Xenopus tropicalis: one gene and its partner. The protein of the gene in region 2 purifies or fractionates together with the protein of the main gene of each other region. This does not show direct contact. Links are inferred from orthologs where the notes say so. Each region holds a gene or a part of one and is shown on either strand. Other genes may lie near its edges. The genes, in order: vdac3 and abcc1.

The links.
Region 1: the proteins of abcc1 (region 2) and vdac3 fractionate together in Homo sapiens (co-fractionation; 3 studies listed by BioGRID). This does not show direct contact. The link is inferred for Xenopus tropicalis from reciprocal best matches to the Homo sapiens genes ABCC1 and VDAC3.

Annotation. Positions count from the first base shown.
Region 1 is NC_030679.2:130,615,440-130,619,359, forward strand, and holds the start of vdac3 (voltage-dependent anion-selective channel protein 3), read left to right. Parts: upstream 1-1,382; 5' UTR 1,383-1,384; coding exon of another isoform or gene 1,385-1,389; coding exon 1,390-1,456; intron 1,457-2,555; coding exon 2,556-2,605; intron 2,606-2,708; coding exon of another isoform or gene 2,709-2,711; intron 2,712-3,071; coding exon 3,072-3,224; intron 3,225-3,307; coding exon 3,308-3,360; intron 3,361-3,544; coding exon 3,545-3,772; intron 3,773-3,920. UniProt on the Homo sapiens protein: Non-selective voltage-gated ion channel that mediates the transport of anions and cations through the mitochondrion outer membrane and plasma membrane.
Region 2 is NC_030685.2:33,870,029-33,873,848, reverse strand, and holds part of abcc1 (ATP binding cassette subfamily C member 1), read left to right. Parts: intron 1-960; coding exon 961-1,036; intron 1,037-1,155; coding exon 1,156-1,273; intron 1,274-2,243; coding exon 2,244-2,451; intron 2,452-2,819; coding exon 2,820-3,130; intron 3,131-3,820.

The DNA of each region.
Region 1 (3,920 bases), on a different chromosome or scaffold from region 2:
TCTACAGCAGCAGGGGAACCAATAGGAAGAGAGAGCCAGTCTAGTAAAGCTGGTATGGGCGGGGCTTGCGGTTGGGAGCCAATGGGAGAAGCGTAGTGTTTTCCATCCTATGGCAGGGAAGGCGTGACACGGTTTGGGATTAGCGCATGCGCAGAGAGGTGAGACGCAGAGACCTTCAGCCGGGGACAGGTGACAAGTGGGCAGACAAAGGGGACTTGTGTGTCGGGTAAATGTGTAAAGGTGGGGTTAGAGCGCTGCAGAAAGCGTGCTGGGTAGGGGGGCAACAGAGCTGGGTGCGTGTAGGTGGGTGTGTGCGGGGTGTGTGTAGGGGAGAGGTGCAGGCTCCAGGGGGGGGGGGGGGTTACACAGTTGTGAAACTAAGGGGGACATGTTGTGTATAACTGAGACAGGCAGGTAGTGATGCACCGTGAGCAGCCCTGTTGGGCCAGCCTAGTGTATAGAGACCTGAGAGCAGCTCCTTCCTGGGAGAGCAGCAGTGTCCTGTAAGTGGGTGGGAGCCTTATGGGGCCACATCCAAGGGGAAGCAACATGACTTACTGACAGGGGATGTTCAGCCTGGGGGCCCCCAACAGCTGGAGGGCATGCAAGCAATGATGGGCAACTGGACAAACCTCCCAACAGCTGGAGGGCATGCAAGCAATGATGGGCAACTGGACAAACCTCCCAACAGCTGGAGGGCATGCAAGCAATGATGGGCAACTGGACAAACCTCCCAACTCCCAGCATGCCTAGGCAGCCTTCAGTGGAATTCTGGAGGGATTGTAGTTCAGCGACCCCAAGAGAGCCTACAGGCATCTAATTTATAGAGTAGAAGGCAGTTTGATTGCAGAATATATGGCGGCCAGTGGGATTGTGCAGCTGCTGCTATCTGTATTTCAGCAAGAGCCCAGGCTGCAGATACGTGAGGCTCAGTCTGTGCAGAGCGACTTGTACTGACAGGAACCAGTTTAGCCAGTGAAAGGGCCACAGAGAGCAATGTAAGGAATGGCGTTGGTGAAAGGTTATTCCACAGATCAATCACACAGTGACAGTAGTTCTGTAGCTGCTGCACCATCAAGCACCTTGTACAGTGTGTAGGGAAGAACATTCACTCCTGTAAGGCTACAGCACAGTCATTTGCACTGGGAACAGAAGGGGTTTGGGTGCACATGGGGGGTTTATATTACAACTGGGAAATAAGTACGAAAAAAATCTATGAGCCTTATTTGAAGTCCAGTAAAAATATGTTTATATTAGTGGCAATCAGAGGAGTGACCTGTAGGAGGGGCATAAGGAGTCAATAAGGTTTACTAGGAAGAACTTTATAAATGATATTATTATTGGTGCATGGATATTTTATCTGTAAATATTATTTCCTTCATAGTAAACATGGCCGTGCCACCTACATACGCAGACCTGGGCAAAGCCGCCCGAGATGTTTTTAATAAAGGATATGGTGAGTTGGGACTAATTTATATTTTATATCAACTTACAGGTTTTTGAGCTATGCAGTGTAAATTAAATGTATCACCTCTAGCTTTGGAAGAGAACCAGGAAGCCCTATAGTAGTGATGTCCAACTGGTGCCCCTCTGTTTGCCCCCCCCCCCCCATCTGTCCAACATGTGGCCCTTGGCCTCCCATGTGTCTAGCTGCTGTGACTGCTTATTTTTGTGTATGCTTTAAATGGTGTCAGTACCGAGATTAACTGCCCCATCTCAGATTCAGACTGTAAGTCTATGTATTTTTCACACCTGTAATGTCCTGTCACACCTCAGATCTATGCTGCCTGGCCTGTGTGTGCCATACTCTGCCTGTCCTATGCTGCCTGTGTGTGCCATACTCTGCCTGTGTGTGCCATACTCTGCCTGCCCTACCCTGCCTGTGTGTGCCATACTCTGCCTGCCCTATGCTGCCTGTGTGTGCCATACTCTGCCTGCCCTATGCTGCCTGTGTGTGCCATACTCTGCCTGCCCTATGCTGCCTGTGTGTGCCTTACTCTGCCTGCACTATGCTGCCTGTGTGTGCCATACTCTGCCTGCCCTATGCTGCCTGTGTGTGCCATACTCTGCCTGCCCTATGCTGCCTGTGTGTGCCATACTCTGCCTGCCCTATGCTGCCTGTGTGTGCCATATTCTGCCTGCCCTTAGCTGCCTGTGAGTGCCATACTTTACCTGCTCTATGCTGCCTGTGTGTGCCATACTCTGCTTGCCCTAGGCTGCCTGTGTGTGCCATACCCTGCCTGCCCTATGCTGCCTGTGTGTGCCATACTCTGCCTGCCCTATGCTGCCTGTGTGTGCCATACTCTGCCTGCCCTATGCGGCCTGTGTGCCATACTCTGCCTGCCCTATGCGGCCTGTGTGTGCGCCATACTCTGCCTGCCCTATGCGGCCTGTGTGTGCGCCATACTCTGCCTGCCCTATGCGGCCTGTGTGTGCCATAGTCTGCCTGCCCTATGCTGCCTGTGTGAGCCATAGTCTGCCTGCCCTATGCTGCCTGTGGGGATCCCCCTATTCTCTGCTGCAGAACATAATGCAGTGTAATTCTCTGACTCTAGGATTTGGCCTGGTGAAGCTGGATCTCAAGACCAAGTCCTCCAGTGGAGTGGTGAGTAAGATACAATGCGTTGTTATTGTTGTGCTTCCTGTATGAGCATTCAGTGTAATGTGCTTGTTTCCTCCCTTTCCATGCGGCACTGGAAACCCTATAGATGGTAAGGAAATAATATCTTACTGTAATTCTATTGGCAGGGCATTCATTGTTTAATGCTAAAAGCCCATGGTGTGGCTTATTTATTAAAAGTCCTCAAGAGCAAATGGGCCTGCATCCATGTGACTTGGGTGACCTGGAGTATTGGGGGGAAAATATGTAGTTTCAGGGGCACTCCTACTCGTTAAGCCTAATAAACATGCATACATTCTTAACCAATCACAGGCCTGTGTGATATACTAAGGCGAGGGCCATAAATAGATTACAAAAAAGCCCATACACCAGTCCCATTATGTTCTGGGTACAAACATCTCTGACCCTATACTGTATGACACTGAATTGGGTATGGGGGGGTTACTTTCAGGAGTTCACAAGCAGCGGCTCATCCAACACTGACACAGGGAAAGCATCAGGCAACCTAGAGACAAAATACAAGATGAAAGAGGCTGGAGTCACCTTCACCCAGAAATGGAACACAGACAACACCCTGGGGACTGAAGTGGCCATTGAAGATAAGGTGAGACCCCGACAGTTGGAGGCTGTTTCCAGTTGGCTGCTGTCTTATTCTGACTGCCTCTCTGTGTTCTTCTATCCGCGCAGTTGGCAACAGGTTTGAAGCTCTCAGTGGACACTACATTTGTGCCCAATACGGGGTAAGTGACAAACTCCTCTTGAAATATAGGGGGTGGGGCAGGGGTCCCTAGTAGCCATCTTTACTGCTATGTCCCATTCCCATCATCTCTCCCCTTATGGTCTTTTACTATTCTCCCAAATCATTTCAATGCCCTTTGTACTCTTCTTTGCCATCCTTTCACATCCTTGCTTTCTCTCCCACAGTAAGAAGAGCGCTAAGCTAAAGACCTCCTACAAAAGAGACCATGCCAACGTGGGCATTGATATAGACCTGGACTTGGCTGGTCCCACCATATATGGCTGGGGGGTGCTTGGCTATCAGGGCTGGCTGGCTGGCTATCAGATGGCATTCGACACCGCTAAATCCAGACTGGCACAAAACAACTTTGCATTGGGCTATACAGCAGGAGACTTCCAGCTTCATACAAATGTGTAAGTGTGTAAGGTAGCTGTAACACTGTGCATTGTACCAACCTGTAGCCTGGGCAGCCTGCTATGTATAGTACTGATGAGTACCTCTGTATGCTCATAACTAATGCACTCTACTGAACAAATTTTGTCTGTGTACAACGATAATGAC
Region 2 (3,820 bases):
GTGAGAACCAAGGAGTAGCTTCACCTTGCAAATTGCAAACAGTCTTCCTCTTTGGCAGTACACCTGAGTTTTTATGCAACCAAAACTTTCCTCTAAGTCTTAAATTCAAAAATGAACACCTAGTTTGAGACCACTGAAGGCACTGGTTGGGGACCATTGATCTAGAATGGTGATCCCCCAACCAGTGGCTTGTGAGCAACATGTTGCTCCCCAACCCCTTGGATGTTGATTCCAGTGGCCTCAATTTTTGAATTCCTGGCTTGGAGGCAAGTTTTTGGTACTGCCAAACAGAGCCTCATGTAGGCTGACAGTCTACATAAGGGCCTACCAAATAGCCAATCATAGCCCTTATTTGGCACCCCCAGTAACATTTATCATGCTGCCCAACTCTTTTTACACTTGAATGTGGCTCACGGGTAAAAAAAAGTTGGGGACATCTGATCTAGAATATAGGTTATACTTACTACTTGTTAGGCCTGTGCTATATACAGTAACTAGATTTCTAGCCAAACACATACTCCTAAATGCACTGTCCAACCTCTTTTAAAAGGAATAAGAAGGGTAGTTCTGCATGCTTTGGGAAGTAAATGCAATGGTTAAAAACTGTCATTGCTGCAGTGGGTGACAGCCCCTTTCTGCCAGAGCATTGAATGGAATTGTTTGCTTTTGTAGTACGGTTTTTCATGTAACTGGCTTAATATTCAGGTAATTTCAAGTAATGTGTGAAAATCCTCTCCCACCATCTGGTGGTTTTTAGAAGGCACTCTGATTAGTGTAAACTTTTTGCTGTTACCCAGAATGATTCATTAAAGTGACTATTTCATCCAGTTGTATTCTGGTTCGTTGAATTGCGCAGTTGACGTGTGCCAAATATAAACAAGAAATGTAAGTTTTTTGAATAATATCCCGTATAATGAAGAAGCTTCTCTAAAATGCCACCTTTTTCCTCCACTCCCATAGAAGCACCAAGTCCAGTCCCTTCAGAAGAAAAACGTTTGGAGAATGGAATTTTAAGAAATGAAAGGAATTTACAGAGGTGTGTATCAGAAATCATGCAGTTGCAGTCATTCCACTTCTTATTGCAGCTTTAGCACATTTATCTTTTTGCATGTTAGCTCCTTAGCACTTTCATATACATTTTCTCTTTAATTTCAGACAATTAAGTGCATCCTCTGAAACCAAGTCTTTGAATCAGAACAAGACAGGAGATTTAAACAGCTCAGAAAAAGATGATTGGAAACTGACTGAAGCAGACAAAGCCAAAACAGGAAGGGTAAGCCACACCCCCTTGTCTGTTTAGTTTTATTATTATTATGATCCTCTTAAAGCAGGGGTGGCCAATACGTCGATAGCGGTCCACCAGTTGATCCCCCGTGGATTTCTGGTGGACTGCGATGAAGCCGGGGATGCGGAAGTGCCGCGTGAATGCATACGTATGCTGTGTCGCGTATATACGGCGTATATACGCCGCACTTCCGCATCCCCGGCTTCATTGGTCGATCGCGGACGAAAAAAGTCTGCCCATCCCTGTCTTACAGTGTATAGCGCAGACATATTCAGCGCACTGAATTACAGGTCAGTCCCTGCTCTAGTGAAGCTTGCAGTGTGAGATCACACAAACTTTATACAGGTATGAGTTATAGGAAGGCCATCTCCCATATTTTAATGAAATAATTCAAAAAGTTTAACATTATTTTCTTTTTCTCTGTAAAAATAAAACAATACCTTGTACTTCATCCCAACTAAGATATAATGAATCCTTATTGGAGGCAAACAGTCCAATTGGGTTTATTTAATGTTTAAAGGATTTTTTAGTAGACTTAAGGTATGGAGATCCAAATTACAGAAAGACCCTTTATCCCTTTGTCCTGAGCATTCTGGATAATAGGTCCCATACCTGTAGATAAAATTATCAGGAACCAGTTAACCTGCCTGTGTATTTGTGGAGTGTGGAAGAAAACAACCAGAGTTCCAGGTGACCACACCCTTTTTTGAGACGACTGCAAACAGCTGTAGCTGTTTAAGGTTTTAAAGGGCCAAATAATGAAGAAAATCCTTTAGAGATGAGATTCCTTCTGATCAAGCTTTTTAGTATATTTTATGAAGTTTCACTTTCATTTAACAGATGTGGACCTTAAGAGAGATTTCGGGTTTATTAATGGTGCACATGTTTTACACAAGTGTAGTATCATATTAAATCTCAGTAAGTCTCCAGGCTAAAATTTTTCTTTCATGTTTGATAGGTAAAGCTGGCAGTATTCTGGGAGTATATGAAAGCCATCGGACTGTTTCTTTGCTTCCTAAGCATTTTTCTTTTTATGTGCAACCATGTTGCATCTTTGGCCTCTAACTATTGGCTTAGTCTGTGGACAGATGACAAGGTTGTTAATGGGACACAACAAAATACTACAATGAGGCTGAGTGTTTATGGAGCTTTGGGATTCTCACAAGGTATGCTGAGGTTTCTTCTGATTGACAGTACTAAGCATTAGGCTTATCATGTATTTCTTGTGTTATTTTATAAGTAAATGGGATCATACATAGAGATAAGAAGCACAACTGTTGGTCACACTGCAATGCACTCTGTAGAGTTCTCTGGGGAAGGAAAATTTAGTGGGACACTGCTGCTGTTTTAGGGCACCTTAGGGCATCTCTCTAGCTCTTGTGGATGAAAACAACCTTTACTGAAAATGAACAGTTCTTGTCTGGTAGCTATGGGTTACTGCAAACTAATACTGCAGGGTAAAAAATAGCTTAACCTGATCATTCTGAGGCTAATGAAGCAGAAGGTAACGTGTGTCACTTTCTTCCCATTGTAGGCATTGCAGTGTACGGATATTCTACGGCTGTATCCCTAGGAGGGATTCTTGCATCCCGGTTCCTTCACACAGATTTGCTGCACAATGTCCTGCGGTTTCCTATGAGCTTCTTTGAACGGACCCCAAGTGGGAATCTTGTAAACCGTTTTTCAAAGGAAATAGACACCATTGACAATACCATCCCTCAGATCATTAAGATGTTCATGGGGTCCCTGTTTAATGTCATCGGTGCATGTGTTATCATTCTAACTGCAACCCCCATAGTCGCTGTAATCATTCCACCCCTTGGTCTGGTTTACTTCTTTGTACAGGTAAATATAAATTGAGGAATCCTTCTCATAAGATATTTATTTTGTTATTCTTGCACAGAGCAGTGTTGAGCATGCTGGTCCTAACAATATCACATTGCTGCATGATGTGGTAGATTAGTGCAGGCACACTACTGGTTTTCCAGCAGTCACTGAGAGACTGGATGAGATGAGGAGCCCTTCAGTTCTTTGGGCTAATGAGCATTTGTACTTGCCCATACGATCATCTGGCAGAATGATTTATTGACTTGCCGACCCAACAAAGTGGTTCCCTGTTGCTCTGTATTTTGACCTTAGTGCAGTCACCTTTAGCGAGAATGGTGAGCAAAGGCTGCATCAGGATATGTAGCTTGGAGGAGCAATAGTGCGTGCATGACCTTGATGTTAATGCCTGTGCTTTAAATCCTCTTCGTATGGATTTTTATAGTGATGGTTTCACTTTAAATTTAGCATAAAGCCAGACAACGCAGCAAGAAATCTTGCAGTGGGGCCCTAAAATTAGTCTGTAAGAAGTCTATAAAAATAGCACATTCGTTATTTTTACTAATAAGTCATTCTTTTATTTGAGCATCAGTGTTGTTTATACATAAGTTTCTTTAACTTACATAAATTGCATATGTCTAGGAGGCCCAATGATGTCGCTGTGGGATCCATTAATTAGTCATTTCACTGCTAAAAAGTTCATATAGGAGA